2 linked regions of the Stegostoma tigrinum genome follow. The protein of the gene in region 1 interacts with the protein of each later gene in a biochemical or structural test. Links are inferred from orthologs where the notes say so. Each region holds a gene or a part of one and is shown in the gene's direction. Other genes may lie near its edges.

Region 1 (8,525 bases):
ATAATTTCCAAGACACACCGCAGAGTACTGATGCCATGTGAGATGCATTGACAAGAACTGGAAAATAAACTCTTCCACACTTTCAGCTGTGGCCTGCATATATCTCATGAAATTGCATACGTGAAACAAATATATTTCATTTTGCTATCAGATTCCTTAATCATACTTTATTCTTCCTCTGAAAAGCCAAATCCTGCGCTGTCCTATCACCAGTGCTAACCTCTGTACTAGTTATTGGGTGTAATACATGCTGTAACAGTACTTTCACAGGATTTTCTTCTGATATATCTTCTGCAGTTTTGTGACTTTTGAAAAGAACCTAAAAGAAATCGAAAAAGGACAGGACTTGGTATGGCATTGAGTAATGTACAGCAGGGGACTGCAGACTTGCAATGTAACTTAATGTCTTTCTCACATTCTTAAGGAGATGCAGCAAAATCTCAAAAGTAGGCAGAACCTCAAACTCTGTGTCCTATTCTGACAGACCTGGCAAGGTCGCCAAATGCAGTGGTTGCTACTCCAACTTGAAAAGATTCTTGATGTTGATTGGTCTTTTCTCAGTAATGTTTTTCTTTATGCTGTGCACTAACTTGTTCTGCATAAAGAAGTGTGAGAGTTAGTGCCTGTCTGCTAGAGAAAAGAACACAATTGTAGAGCTTCTCTTGTTGTAAAGGTGCTGAAAGTAATTGGATTCAGAATGAAAAATTATGTCTTAAGTTTGATGCGAGGAAGGGAAAGTGAGAATACTGTGTGCTGTGAATGAAGCAAGGAAAATGTGTTTTCAAGTGAGTAGTGGTATGGTGTGGATTTCTGTTGGGTGACAATGAATGTGATGGTGGGTGTGAATAATGAATTCAAAAAAAATATAAAGAATATTTACCATTGTCATTCTTCTGAGGTGCTTTTTGCACTCTACCAATTATGGGAGTGATATTCCCAGAAGTCATAATCTTGGCAGTGAATCCATACACTTGATGTTTGTATCTTCATTGAGTTGGATGGAAAAGAATTATTCTCCATAACTTCATGTTTTGCAGTGGGACAGTCAAGACAATTTCGATGTACAAGCAACAGTGCAATCTGAATCACTTTCTCTCTCTGCAATTCCACTGCAAAATCAATCAGAAAGGAGTGCAATCTTGCTCCGAGAGGGACATCCTACTTTAAATAGCCTCTGGTTGATGTCTTAGAAGTTCTGCTGACAAGATGCATAGGTTAATTAACAAATCTGGTAGGAAATTTGACTGTAAGGCTGCCCATGAGGTACATTATCCCATGTCTGTTTGCTAGTCAGCAATAAATTCAGCAGCTACCCATCAACTACTTTATCTTGGGTTAAATATATTTGACGCAATGCGCAGAATTTTCCCTTCCTGAACTGGCATGGTCAAAGTTGAGAAAGTGCAAGTTGAACAAATACAGTAAGCATTTTAAAAATTTGAATCTCAACATCAAGAAAACATATTCCCAATTTTCCGATTAACGTTTAAAGAATGTCCCCATTGAGTGGTGACTACCTTATTTCAATGTATTTACATCTCATTAAACATCCCAACCTACCATTCTTTGCCACTAGTAATTCTCTCCTTTTCCAAGAAACCAGACAACCTAAATTCCTGACTTGTAAATCACAGCAGGTACCTCGCTGCAGCTTGCCAAATGCAGTCCCTGCCTTCATCTAACTCTGGGGTCTTCATCACATTAAGCCACCGTGGTCCATGGACACCATCTTCCTGCAAGGACATGTAGGACTTGCATGCTTCTGTAAGGTTGCTTTACACACAGGGACATTTCATGCATCTAAACAGGAAACATATTATGGATTCTTAGCTTTACTTTAATGCTTATCTAATTTATGCTTACTTGGAAGCCGTCAATCTCTCTGCATTACGTTTTAGCACAAAGGCTACCTGTTTTTCCTAATCACATTTGGGGAATACTGAACAGCCAAGGGGATGGACATATCACTGTACAATGCCAAGCTATGTCAGTATCATACATATATCGTGTGCCAGCAGCTTAAGCAGCTGCATGTGCTTCAATCAAATGTCCGCTAGTGAAAGGGGAGTAGTCCTCAGTGAAATCAAAGATGACTTTAGTCAGGCAGGGGTGCTGCAACATTCAGTGAGGGTCCTCTGGTGACATCAGGGAAGGATTGAGTACGATGAAAGAGTAGTTACTGGTCAGGCAGAATTGGGAGAAATGGTGAGGTGTTCCCAGTGAGCAAGTATGAAGCACAATAGGCAGATATGGTTTGTAGTTTTGGATTATGAAGTGGATGAGAGCTGTTAAGTGGACCTTATTCATGTAATTATGAGAGCTGTCGTCTGCAAGTCTTGATGAGATGTGTGTGGAGTGCTAGTATTCGATTGACTGGTGAACCTGTGAATCAGAGAAATGATGGTGGGACCTACTCATAATGTGCAGATAATTGTTAGCCTTTACCGTGCAATAACATGCATTCCTTTTCACTTACAACACAGCAGTGACTTGAATCATTATCCGTGTCATGGTTATTGTTTCTGGTGTTGTGGTCTCCTGTAATGACAAGATAAAGTTCTGCTGTCTTCTCCATCATTCCAACCACCAGCAGCTTTGGGTTCCTTATACACAGCAGGGAGCTAACTTGCCGCCTTGGACCATTTCACCACTGATAATATTGGAGGCACAGCCATTTGAGGGACAGCTCCTGTCTTGCAGCATCTTAGGTGCTGTGCAGATGGGCTCTAAATATGACGCTGGCAGTCTGAATGTTAAACGATATCAACAGTGGCAAACACTTTCACCTCTCCTAATTGCATAAGAAAAGTACCAAAGAATCCATTTGCACATGTAAGGAGGTGAAGAGTGGAAGGTTGTACGAGATACAGTGTGGGACAATTCAGGGCTATTTTTGTTTCTTTACTTGAAAAACAAAGATTATGTTTTCATTCAAAAATATATCTTAGTCAGAATTTTGTCTATTTTGTTCATGTCCACTCTGCCAATTATAGTAGATTTGATGGGCCAAATGGCCTTACTTCCACTCCTATGTCTTGTGGTCTAATTGGATGAGGTCTGTGTGTGAGGCATCTCTTTTGTGGAGCCATACCAGAATTTTCTTGTGAAATATCATTCACCAAAATGACTTGTCATAGCCTCCTGAGTTGATTTAAGCCAATTAAAATTCAGCTACCACCATCATCCAAATAAAGGGTCAGCAGTAAACTGCTTTGGTACAAGACGACTTTCCAAACAGGTATGTGGTACACCAAACTGATCAACCTGGCTTCTGACATTGATCGACCAAGGAAAGTTTAGTGGCAATAATCCCAATTTTAGAAATAATTTTGTCAACTTCTTAGCACTGCATTAGCTGGCTATCAAATAGTCTCACCAGCTGAGGTTACTATGTGGGACTGTCCTTCCCAGCCCTTCTTGCCTGAGGCGTGGTGACTCGCAGGTTAAACCACCACCACCACCAGTCACTTTTTTTCTAATGAAAGAGCAGCCTATGGTCCTCTAAGACTATGGTGACCTTCCTTTGGGCTTTGCCTATCCACCCTTCCATAATTAGTTACTTTGATGAAGGGTGTAGGCCCGAAACGTCAGCTTTTGTGCTCCTGAGATGCTGCTTGGCCTGCTGTGTTCATCCAGCCTCACATTTTATTATCTTGGAATCTCCAGCATCTGCAGTTCCCATTATCTCTCATAATTAGTTACAGATTGGTTGAGACTTTTAAACAAATTTTCCACTTTCCTTACAGATCCATACTCCCACATTAGTTTAAATCATTTATTGTGCTAGAAGATCACATAATTGGAAGCATAATGTGTTAAAGCCTGTGCAAAGAAATTTTGCACAGTATGCTGTGCTGAGACTTGTATTAATGCCCCTTGAGAGGACAGCAGGTGGTAACCTATTTCTCATCTTTCATTTCTTGACTGTATGCAAATAAGATTGATATTTAATGGTGACTCTAAAATAAATCATAAAACATGAATGGTTTAGACTATTTTCTGAAACAAGACTTACTATCTTGAAACAACTCATTACATGCTATTTGATTTTCTTTTTCTTCATTATACTTTATTATGTTTCTGCGTTGGCAGCAGGTGCAAGTTGACACCAACAACTCAGCACACCAAATGTCATCCTGCACATGGGTTATTTATGATACAATTATTATGCATAAATAATGTAGTTGATTACTGTATAATACTGGTAATATTGTGATGTTTCAGTTATTTCACATTTTCTGTCAAGATTTACACACTTGATACTGCAAAGAACGTTGTAATTTAATCTATTGGGTTACAAATTTAATAGATACCATAAATTAACAGTAACCTTTAAAAGTAGTATCATGCATCACAAAAAGAAAGTACTGGAGAAACTCCAATAACAAGGTGTAGAGCTGGATGAACACAGCAGGCCAAGCAGCATCAGAGGAGCAGGAAAGCTGACGTTTCGGGTCAGGGACCTTCAAAAATTTCTGATGTAGCTAGGCTCGAAACATCAGCCTTCCTGCTCCTCGGCCTGCTGTGTTCATCCAGCTCTACACCTTGTTACCTCAGATTCTCCAACATCTGCAGTTCCTACTATCACTGGAGAAACTCAAGTCTGCCACATCTGTGGAGAGAAAACAAGAGTTAACTGCAGTTCTGGCGAAGGATCACTAGATGCGAAAAGTTAGCTGTTGTTCTCTCCACAGACCTACTGCGTTTCTCCAGCACTATGTGGTATTTACTTTGCAGCGTTGGCGCACGTTTTGCTTTGGTGATTTTTGAAAGTGCCTCGGCTAGATAATAACACCACCTAACCCTAACCCCTGACCCTTGGGAGGTGCAAGCAATTTTTTTTAATGATATGCACCCTCTTGACTTTCTCCAAACACAGTATGTGTGCTTGATTACACAACTACGTGAGTCAACTTTGGCCCTTCTTCTCAGCGTGTCAACACAATTCACTTAAGGTGGTCGTTGCAGAGAAAAGAAAACAACCCAAGTTTGGGTGGGGAGTACGTTTGCTGTCTGCTCTGGCCATGGGTAAGACGATGTGAAATCCGTCATCTTGTCGGCCTTACCCCTTCGAGCCCCACTCAAACCGTCACCGTCGCCTCCGCCTCAAAAAAGCGGCTCGTTCCGGCTTGACCGTTCCACACCGCCACATCCTTCCGCGACACGGAAAAGTAGTGCCCGGCGAAACGATGAGACGCAGGGCGACCGAGGGCGCGTGGGGGCGGGGTGAGAGGAAGAGAAACAACCGACAAGTCGTGGCAATAAAAAAAAAGGCAACCAGGAAAGGGGTGGAAAAGAAGAAAAGATTAAAGCCCAGGAATTGAATGATGGGGATCCTCCCGTACCTTAGAAGCCGAGTGTTTGTTGTGAGGAGAGACCGTTGCGCGGAGGGATACACGGCAGAGATACTCCCTTCCTGTTAAGGTCTCCCTAACGGGGAGTCGCCACGATCCGGTGCAAAATGTCGGAATCGGAGCAGCGCTGCACCGCCAACGACTCGACCTTCCATCGGCTTTTATGACCCGCGGTTAAGCCGCTGTTTACATGTATCCATTAATTGCTTCTGTGAAGTTAACTTATTAAAGTTTTTCTTTCTTCGATGGAAAGATGGATGTTACTTCTTCTTAGTGCCTACAGAAAAGGTAAAGAGTTTTTACTCCTTCACCACCAACCTCCCTTCCTCCCCCGGGCCGCCCGTGCTTTTTACGGGGAGCAGCTGTCAAAGACAACCGAACGTGTTGCCTGTAGCCCTTGTTAGCCACACCCTCCGGACCTGCCGATTGGTGTTTGGCAAATCCTTCGTCCGAAGTTACCATTGCGATTGGCTGGGGCCCCTGTCAATTATTGCTGGCCGCGATGAGGGTGGGAGGAAAGCCTGTCAGGTTAGGTTGAGGTGCGGATCCTTTCGTTGTGTTGAGGCGAGGCAGCTTTAACCCGCTGTCATTTGTATCTCGGCACCAAGGCAGCGCCGAATAAATGTGACACCCGGAGAATTTGCGGTTGAGGCGAACGACTGGGCTTGACCCGGCGCCCTTCCGCAGCCGGAGCTGGCTTCCCCGACACACGATGACAAGTGTAATCGCCATGTTTTCCCGAAGTATCAGTGCTGTGAGGCTGTGGGTGTGTTGTGCTGTCCTGACACAAGTCTGATGGAGAAAGGGACCAGGCTTTTGGAGGCATCGTAGGCATTTTTAAAAATCATCTTCTCGGCCTCAAGCTCTGTGACATGCGCCTTGCCCGATCACGCAGCCCTATTTCGGCGCTCAGGGAATCAGGTGTTTTAAACGGCTGCCTCCCCTAGCAATGCACGAGATTTTCTGTAATCAGGAACGTTTTGACACTCCCTTGTCCCCTCCGAAAAAAAACACCGTTCTAGGTTTGTGATTTACTTTAGAATTAACATTAAAACGTCGCCTTCTTATAGTTGCTATTTGTTTCCATTGAGTGCATATAATTGCGCAATAAGCGCGCACAAATCTGCAATCAGCATTGCCCTATCTGGCACTTCATACAGTGGTTGGCCGTGTCATTTCTGCTTTTCCATTTATTTCTTAAATCGGGTTGGTTAGACACAATGACAAGTTTTACATCACAGACTTAAAAAAAACTACATTCACTCTAATATATTTGTTGCTGATTATTACAATAGTCGCAGATGACCTGACTCGATGCTTCCTTCACGTAAAGTCACACCCTTCCTATGTTTGAATGTAAGAAGCGTCTCTCTGCAAGACCTGCTCTGTTCGATTAGACTAGATTCCCTACAGTGTTAGTGTCAAGTCAACTTGACCAACTTAAAGCAATCGTATTTTATATAGGTAACCTAAATACAACTGACAGCACAATGTTGCTAGTTCACGATTAGTCAAAACACAACCTTGACTTGGAAGTATATTGGTTTTCCTTCACTTTTGCTGGTTCAGAATCCTGGAACAATTCTATCAACTGCACAGTAGCTATCCTCCCAGCCCAAGAACCGCAGCGGTTCAAGGAAACAGCTCACAGCCACCTCTTCTAGGACAATTAGAAATGAGCAGAGTGCTGGCCAAGCCATTCCCATGAATGAATTTATACAAAAAGGATGTAATCATACAGTTGCTTTGGATATCTAATCTTGGAGCTGGTCACATTCATGATATGTACAATACATTAAGTAGAAAAAACATTTAAAAAAAAATATACAGCTTGTAATAAATAGATTTGGTTATTGGGTGAATGTGAAAGCTAATGAAAGTTCTTCATTGGTCTGTGTTTAATTTTTGTTCTCTGTTCAAGTCATAATTGCTTTGTGACTAGTAAGTAGTTAGATGCATTTTTACATTGGTACATAATTGAAAGTTGCAATTTGGCAGATTTCTTGTCTTTCTGTTAACAAATACTAAATTTGGAAGCAATTATATTTCTTTAGAAGGTGTTCTCAGATTTGGGTATTACTGATAGGATTAGCATTTCTTGTTCATCCATTGTTACCTTGAAAAGGTAGTGATTCAATGCCTTCTTCAACTGCTGAATATTTATACTTGAGTGATACTTCAGAGTGGCTTGCTTGGCTATTTTTGAGACCCCTACATTTTTGGGAAACTAGACTGTGTGTAAAAATGGAAGACTTTCTTTTCATAAACAATAGTGAACCAGGTGGGTTTTCACAAAAATCTAACAGCATAGTTGATTTATTTTAATCTTTTTATTTCAAGATATTTGAAACTTTCTTTGTTATGCATTCATCAGATGAAGACTACTGGCTATGCCAGCATTTATTATCCAACCCAGTTGGACAGTTAAGAGCCACCCACATTGCTGTGGGTTTGCAGTGACATGTAGACCTGATCAGAAAACGATTGCAGACTCCTGAAGGATATTAATGAACCACATGGGATTTTCCAACAGTTGACAATAGATTCATGGTCAGTAGATTCTTAATTCCAGATTTTGTTTTTGAATCCAGAACATTGCCTATGTCTCTGACTTCATAGTCCAGTGGTAATAGTCGTGGCCATTGCCTCTCCTGAATTAAAATTCCTAAATTACATTTGATGGATCTGAATTTGCATACACTGGTTCTTGCTGAAGCTTCTGGATTACTGGTTCAGTAATGTAACTGCAATGCAACCAAACTCTGTTTCAAGTGAATTAATTTGTTTTATAGTAATCCATATATCCATATATAGTTATTAGGAACGAGGGTAGGCATTAGGCCCTTTGAGCCTGCCGTGCAGTAAGATCAGGGTTAATATGGTTGTGGTCTCAATGGTTGTCCTCTTATCCTAACACTTTACTCACTTGTCTCAAGTTTATCTGACTTGGCCTTAAACAAATTTATTGACTGAGTCTCTTCTTGTTTTCTCTCTAGGGAAGAGCATTTCACATTAATAACTTTCCAAGAGAAAAGAATATTCTCCTCTTCTTAAAAGGGAGGTGTCTTAAACTGTGTCCATTGTTTCTAGTTTCCCCACAACAGGAAACATCTTCCTAGTATCCGTCCAATATCTTGCACGTTTTAATGAGATTATTCTTCTAAGTCTAAT
Region 2 (8,673 bases), on another chromosome or scaffold:
CCCTCCCTACCTCCCCACCTATACTCTCTCCACCTATCTTCTTTACTCTCCATCTTCGGCCCGCCTCCCCCTCTCTCCCTATTTATTCCAGAACCCTCACCCCATCCCCCTCTCTGATGAAGGGCCTAGGCCCGAACCGTCAGCTTTTGTGCTCCTGAGATGCTGCTTGTCCTGCTGTGTTCATCCAGCCTCACATTTTATTATCTTGGATTCTCCAGCATCTGCAGTTCCCATTATCTCTAATACAAAAGGGTAATTTATTTAACTATGCTTTTTAGAAATGTGCTGTGCACAAGCAAGCCACAGTGGTTATTAGAGATAGTAGGAACTGCAGATGCTGGAGAATCTGAGATAACAAGATGTAGAGCTGGATGAACACAGCAGGCCAAGCAGCATCAGAGGAGCAGGAAGGCTGATGTTTTGGGCTAGATCCTTCTTCAGAAATAGACCCTTCTGAAGAAATAGACCTTTCCAAAATGTCAGCCTTCCTGCTCCTCTGATGCTGCCTGCCCTGCTGGGTTCATCCAGCTCTACACACTGGTTGTTATATTGCAACACTTCCGAAGTATGTCAGTCAATGTGAATGCTTTTGGGTAGATATCCTGAGATAGTAAACGTGCTATACAAATGCATGCTCTTTCTTTCAGATGACAGTCAACGTCTGTGGTTGCACATAAATCAAAATAGGTCACACATGTGGAACACCTATGCTCAGTTCGCGACAAACGCACCTCCCAGTTGCGAACCATTTCAACTCCCCCTCCCACTCCTTAGACAACATGTCCATCTTGGGCCTCCTCCAGTGGCACAATGATGCTACCCAAAGGTTGCAGGAACGGCATCTCATATTTCGTTTGGGAACCCTGCAGCCCAATGGTATCAATGTGGACTTCACAAGCTTCAAAATGTCCCCTCCCTGAATGCATCCCAAAACCAGCCCAGTTCATCCCCGCCTCCCTAACCTGTCCGACCTTCCTCCCACTTATCCACTCCTCCCACCTCAAGCCCCATCCCCACCTCCTAACTACCAGCCTCAGCCGGCCTCCTTGACCTGTCCATCCTCTCTGGATTGACCTATCCCCACCCTAGCTCCCCACTTACACTCACCTTTTCTGGCTCCATCCCCGCCCCTTTGATCTGTCTGTCTCCTCTCCATCTATTTTCTCCTCTATCCATCTTCGATCCGCTTCCCCCTCTCTCCCTATTTATTTCAGAATCTCCTTCCCCTCCCCCATTTCTGAAGAAGGGTCTAGGCCCGAAACGCCAGCATTCCTGCTCCTCTGATGCTGCTTGGCCTGCTGTGTTCATCCAGCTCTACACCTTGTTATCTCAAAACACATTCAGCTCTGTTCTAGCTGGAGTCAGTTCCCCCCCAGGGATGTGAGGGAGGGAATGGGAGGGTTAGTTAAAGATAATGATTTTGTGCAACACAATATTCTGAAGTAATGGAGGGAAAACGCACCATCATGTAGCCTTCCACAAATGTGACAATGATGATGTGTTATATGTTTAAGGAAAAAGTAAAGCTTGTCAAAAACATTTTAACAATGATTGAGCTTATAAATTCAAACCCTAGCCCCCAGCCCCAGGAAGGACAAGAATTGTCCATTATATCCTGAGATTTAGACTCTTATTCCGGCTTTGGTAGATGAATGTTGAGCAAAGGTTTTAAGATGTCCCATCGGAAAAGGCATAACTGAGGGGAAGGGGATTAATCTCAAAGTGAGATGGATATCTGTAATAGTTAGTGGAGCAGATCATTCTGTGGAACAATAGGCCCACTTCTCCAAACAGGACAGAGGAGGGCGGAGCTTAAAGTGAACTTCCTCTGATGCAAAATAACAACAGATCCAATGACCTGGAAAACAGCCAGAATATTAAGTGACTCTAAGAAGAGTGCTAAATTGAACTAATTGTGTGCATTTATACAGGGATATACACACACACACACACACACACACAAACACGACAATTTTTTGTCAATTTAAATCGGCTAACCAATGTAGGGAAGTGGGGAATGGTGTGTACGAGCCTTTGCGTGTGAAGTGAATTAATATCAGCAGCGATATGGTGATTAACTTATAATATCTGTTGGTTTTCCTGTTCCCCTATTGACTGGATCTTGACCTGAATTAACACATTCCAAATTTTTCCCTGAAAGTCAGCAAGTTCCAAAATCTGGCATGGCCTCAGTACTGAGGCAGAGGGATTTCGGAGAGAGTACCTTTTGTATGAGCACTGTCCTAATAGTTTTATCTTTTATCATTCTGGGAGTCTTAGTGTGTACTCAATCAAGCCACTATATTCTTCCTGAGGTGCAGTGCTCCTAGACTAAACACAATACTCCGGAAGAAAACTGATCAAGAGCCTGTAACTGTTGCACAACTTCCTTATTTTAATATTGTGACATGCTTAAAATAAACCAGATTGCTTTCATAGAATCATAGAATCCCCACAGTGTGGAAACAGGCCCTTCGGCCCAGTCCATACCGAACCTCAAAGCATCTCACCCAGACCCACCCCGCTATAACCCACCTGAACACTATGGGCAATTTAACATGGCCAAACCACCAAGCGTCTCTACCTTTTGCAGGCAACATTGAACACACAGAACATTCAAACACTCGCAGTTGTTTACTTAGCAATAATTGCCTTCAAAAAATGTATGGGGCATCGTGGAGATGATCTAGTGAATGAACTGGATTGACAGACCTGATGCAAATTTGCTGTCAAAGTTCATCAGATCACTCCCTGCACTCTGCATTGGAAATACAGAGCAGACCAATAAAGTAGGGGTTTGTAAATGCTTGATAAGTTTCATCTGCCCTGCATTTGGATAGCTGGCACTCAAGTTTCTGGCGTGGCCCATGGAATTGTTCACACTTTTACACAAATTGGAAATGGCCTTGCAATTGACAACCTCCCTGGGAAAGGTCAGAGGATAGACTATTGCAGCAGGCGGTGCTAATCTGACACTGAGGTTGGATTGAAGTTGAATTGCTGCTATTGATAACTTGCCACATCTTGTTATAACACTGTAGTGGAAGATTTACTCTATATCTGACCTGTGCTGTTTCTCACCTGGGAATGCTTCACGGAACAGTTTCTACTCTGTAGCCAACTGTGATGCATATGACCTGAGAATTTCTCAATTTTACAGTCAGCTTTACTCTGTCTCTAACTTATCCTTGTTTTAGCAACACATGACGAGACAGGATAAGGGAGTTTTATTTTATGTCGACCTTGGCTGTAACTGCCCAGGGAGTGTTTGATGCGACCGTACAAGAGATTTGCACTGTAATTAAGACTGGAAATGTTTGTTGACACAGTGTAGAGGAAGCTTCACTCAACACCCAATCTGTGGTTCTTAACTTGGGACAGTTTGATAGGGTTCAAGGGTTAAAAAGTGAAAAAATGCTCTATTTGAGTTGACATCCTATAACCCAAAAAGCATCATTTGTAAACTTGCCTCACTTTATTCCAGTGATTATATTTAGTCTGTGGATGTTGGTATGTTCGTCGAGCTGGGAGGTTTGATAGCAAACGTTTCATCCCCTTACAAGGTGATATCCTCAACCAACGTCTACAGCCAACAGCCGAAGCTACAATCTTCACTCAAATCCAGAACTATATTCAGTCTGCGCTGATTGTCTCAGGAGACTGCAATATTACACTACAGTTACATATAATGAGAATGCTTAATCCTGATTCCCTATCAGCCTGACGACTGTGTTTCAACGGGATCCATTGCCCTGTCTATTGGTCACACTTGCTGCACTAGATCCCCTCATCCTAAGACCATAAGACATAGGAGTGGAAGTAAGGCCATTTGGCCCATCAAGTCCACTCCACCATTTAAATCATGGCTGATGGGCATTTCAACACCACTTCCCTGCACTCCCCCCCCCCCCCCCCCCCCCACTCCGTAGCCCTTGATTCCTTTTGAGATCAAGAATTTGTCGATCTCTGCCTTGAAGGCATCCAACGTCCCGGCCTCCACTGCACTCTGCGGCAATGAATTCCATAAGCCCACCACCCTCTGGCGGCAGTGATATAGCTTTGCACTAGGGTTAGAATTTGTGAACTCACTGCGAGAGGCAGTGTTTGCACTTTGCAACACAATGTATGAACTTTCCAAGCCCATAGCATCAAACATCAACAAGCACCATTATCCTCCAGGAGAGATGGTGGAACATTAAAGGAATTGCGTGATGGAAAATCATCGCTGTCTTGTTGTGGACCTGCCAGAAAACATCTTATTCTGGGGAAGGCATCCCTCAGATTGGAACTGACTGTCGCATTGAGGATTCAGATCAGACACGCTCATCTTCCAAACCCTTGCTTTGCCTCTTACACCCAATGGCTATAAACGTTCTGATATTATTGGAGCTGTATCCAGTGAAGTAACTTTCAGCTCTCTGTACAGCAGAAAGGAAACTTGAAAGAGGTGCAAAAACATTTTATTATGATCATTCGATGGGCTAACAACTCCACATCAGTACAGGCAGGGGGTGAGGGGGGCAGGGGAGGATGGCGAAGAAGGAAAAAAATACGAGAAAGTGTTGCTCTTCCTGTTCTGCATATGTGTTGGTCTCTGATAAGAAGCGAGTCATGAGCAGGAAATCCGTCAAAGGGCAACATTACAACTGACTGTGAAACCTCAAAACGCTGCATCAGCCTGTGAGGAGTGGAGCAACCAGGCAGGAGTATGCGAAATGGCTGTTGTAGTGGAGAGCAGCAGCGACAAGGGCTCGAGCTGCCAGGCTGGGAAACATACCTGGGCTGTTGAGGGGCTGACAGAAAGCTCGTCAGACGGGACAGTGACTTTCAACGACACCGGCTTCTCCACTATCCTGCAGGGTGGCCTGGATGACCTCCGGCTGGACAGCTCCCTCACGGATGTTGTCCTGTGTGTGGATGACAGAGAGTTTTCCTGTCACCGGGTTGTGTTGGCAGCTGCCAGCAGTTACTTCAGGTAGGCCGAAAGCATCATTTCTTTGTTTATGTGCCAAGACTGTTGGATATTTCCTTCGGCCCAGCATCGGTGACTGTACCTTCAGTTGTCTAGGCCTGAAGTCCTGACTTCCATCTCTTAAACTCCTTTGCCTCTCCTCTGTGGACCTTTAAAAAGCTCCTTCAGACCTCCTTGTTTGACCAAACATCTGCTCACTGGCCCTAATATCTCCTTTGTGTCAACACAATTATCTGTGTCTGATAATTCCCTTGTGGGGAGTCCAAGTCTTTTTTTAACTGTATTGGAGACACTGCATAAAGGCAATTTGTTGATATTCAAGTTAAATCTTGCCATGGATATTCCACGACAATCATTTCTTTGGGACGACGCTAATTTCTGCCCAACGTTTGAATAGTTCCCGAGTTTGAGAATGTCTTTGCCAGCAACAACTTGCATTGAAATAGCACCTTTAATGTATCATCACAGCAGAATAATAGGATGGAAAAATGACACCAAGTCGGAAACAAAGGCCCAAAGCAAAGCATAGTTACAGTGATGGAGAGGTATGTTTTAAGTAGCATCTTAAGGGAGAAAGAATAGACAAAGAGCTTTGAAGGTGGTGCTGAAGCCTGTAAACCAATAAAGAGATAAAGAAATATACAGTAATAGTGCTCCAAAACCTCACTGTTCTGTGGCCAATCATTTTTACTCAAAGAAACTCTGTACCTGTCTTTCTGTTCACTGTTTAAGTGCCACAGCTGACAAATAGGAATGGCTTCAGTTATTAGTTTGTTCCTGATGTCTCAGTGTGGTATCCTATTGCTGATCTGTGATTATTGGAGCAAAACATTAGGGAAATGTGAGGATGAGCAAACATTGTCAACTTTGTGCCTCCCGAACAGGAAACAATTAAAAAAATTCATTCATTTTCATTGATTCGTTCATTTACTTGCATTTATTAGCCACGGACATTTTTAAATACCAAAGGAAAGACCCAGGAATATGCCCAAATAAAGTTGGCTACTCAATATGTGAGACAAATCACGGGCCCATTTAAAGATGCAAAAGATTGTGGGGAGTGGGCCCCTAAGATGACACAGTGTGGAGCTGGAGGAACACAGCAGGCCAGGCAGCATCAGAGGAGCAGGAAAGTTGACACTTCGGGTCGGGACCCTTCTTCAGAAATGGAGATGGGAGCTCGGAAATAAATACAGATGGTCCTGACCTGAAACGTCGACTTTCCTGCTCTTCTGATGCTGCCTGGCCTGCTGTGTTCGTCCAGCTCCATACTATGACTCCAATATCAGCCTCTGAGCCCCTAAGAAAATATGTCTTTGGCTATAGATATCAAGCTGATAGACTGACACATCTTTTCATCGCATGCAGTGTGTTGTGCTTTTACTTTAAATTTATAAAGACATAAACCATCTAACAAATTTATACATCATCAGAACTTTCAAAAGCACTAAAAAGCCAATGAGGTACTTTTGAAATGTCATCAGTGTTGGTATATATGCAGACGAAGTAGCCAATCTGTGCACAGAAAGATCACACAGGCAGCATCATTGCCACCTGTCCCTTGAATTGAAGATGACGTCAATGTATGATTGTGTGTTTCCAGCATGGGTCCCAATATGATTCACAGGCCAATTCTCAACCTACAGATCTTTGGGTACATTGGTTGGATGAGGCAGTGGGATCTGGGGTGCAGGATTTGCTTTCTTTTCTTTCCTTCTCTGCCATTACGTCACTTCGTCATTAATGTTTTCAGGCAAAAATGTGATCAAACTTGATAGAAAGATTGTTGCCATTTTGAACATATGGAAGCAATCTCCTCCCGGTCACTGATGTCAGTGATGCTGTTCCTCAAGGAGAGTTTCGGAGAGTCTTTATAGTGTGTTCTTTCCCCTTCCCTGGAACATTGACCATTCAGTAGTTGAGAAGACGGGACCCAGCAGGCGAGATAATTTCAGCCATCCACTGGACACTGAGCTCAATTCTTCACCGCTAATCTTGCTGGGGTTTCTTCTGAATGTTTGTGGAACTGGCTTCAAGAAGGACAGTAGTATTTCTTTCATAGACCTCCCATTTAATCAGGTGTATGCAGCAGAGTCTTTATTGATGGAATGTCCAGGTCCCTTGCAGCACAGAAATGTGTTGATGACAGCTGGTCCATTCATATAGACGTTTGTTAACTTGCATAGATCTTCATTGCCGATAAAACATAGGCAGCAATGTGATAATGACTGATTAATTCACTGTTGAGGGATTAACTTTGGCTTTGTGTTTTATGGAATAAATAGCAATAGCAAGTTACAGATTTCTCCCAAATTTTTGCTTGGGGACGTGTTAAAATTAGCGACTGAATCAATGACACCAATTTTACACAGAAGTCACTCTTGGTGGAGATTGAGGGATGAACATTGGTCAGGGCATCTGGAAGATACCTTTGATCTTCAAGTTGCTATAGTTCATGTGAAAGTGAGCATTTCCAATAATGTTCTTTCTCTTTGTCTTACACTGAACCAACAGGTTAGATTATGTCAACAAACCTGGACTGGGTCTTAAACCCCTTATCATTTGACTCAGAGCCAAGTAGTGCCACAAAATAATTCTTTACATGGAACTCTCAGCAGGTTATTGTGGGGTGAATGTTGATTGGTGAGTAATTCCCTGTGGGATACTATGTGGGTTAGAGACCCCAAGTAGTCATTGTCTGGGGGATAGTAACAGCTCAATGGTACCCCGTGACCAGATCCTTAACGCAAATGTCTCCCATGCCCAATGGAACAAGCATCGCAAATCACTGGAACCTCCCAACAATACCAAAAGACTCTGAAAGATGTAAAACCTATTTATGGTGTAGTCCATACCAAAGAATTTTTGAATTGACTAGAAGAAAATTCAAGTCATGGCGAATGTAAATTCACACTGTGGAGCCGTGTCCCAGAACTCATATTTGTTAGCATCTCCTGTGGCCGATTCCTGTCCATGGGAAACCATCTGAGAAGGAGTATAACCTGACTTCTCGACACCATCATCAGTCCAGGACCAGGCCCATCACTTCATTAGATAGGATTATAGAAACATCCTGCAGGTGGAATATTGAGTCCTTTGCATGGAAATCGACAGGGAAATGTTGTAAAGCTCAAAGCCACTATTGAAAGAAAGAGAGTCATTGCATTTATAATGTTCCTTTGACAAACTCAAAAATGCCATAATGCATTGTATAATACCATGGAAATGTTAAAAATTCAGCATCAGGGTACCACAAGTAACAATGTGATAATGATTTGGTTAAATGTTTTCATGGGCGTTAGTTAATATTAATCAGGATCCTAGGGAGAGCTGCTCTGGTCTTTTTCCAATAGCATCATGGGATCTTTTATGACTACCCAAGAAATGTAATATCTCAATTGAAAGCCAGCAGCCCAACAGTATGCATTGATGTGACAGCCCAGAATATGCACTGAAGTCATTGCAATGTATCAGCTCACAAAATTCAGACTCATAGGTGAGAGCGCCACTTCAAAATTGGGAAGGCGTTGGCTTAGTGATATAATTGCTGGACAGTTAATACAGAGACCCAGGCAATCTTCTGGGGACCTGGGTTCAAATCCCACCACAGCAGAGGTTGGAATTTGAATTCAATAAATAAGAGTTTAATGATGGCTTGCATCCATTGTGGAATGTCGGAAAAACTCATCTGGTCCACTAAT

What was found.
Region 2: the proteins of rc3h2 (region 1) and klhl6 form a complex in vitro, tested with the Homo sapiens proteins (2 studies listed by BioGRID, with this or other methods). The link is inferred for Stegostoma tigrinum from reciprocal best matches to the Homo sapiens genes RC3H2 and KLHL6.

The regions. Positions count from the first base shown.
Region 1 is NC_081382.1:22,885,568-22,894,092, forward strand, and holds the start of rc3h2 (roquin-2), read left to right. Parts: upstream 1-5,189; 5' UTR 5,190-5,642; intron 5,643-5,881; exon of another isoform or gene 5,882-6,376; intron 6,377-8,525. UniProt on the Homo sapiens protein: Post-transcriptional repressor of mRNAs containing a conserved stem loop motif, called constitutive decay element (CDE), which is often located in the 3'-UTR, as in HMGXB3, ICOS, IER3, NFKBID, NFKBIZ, PPP1R10, TNF and in many more mRNAs.
Region 2 is NC_081367.1:10,818,442-10,827,114, reverse strand, and holds the start of klhl6 (kelch-like protein 6), read left to right. Parts: upstream 1-4,680; 5' UTR 4,681-4,715; coding exon 4,716-4,975; intron 4,976-8,673. UniProt on the Homo sapiens protein: Involved in B-lymphocyte antigen receptor signaling and germinal center formation.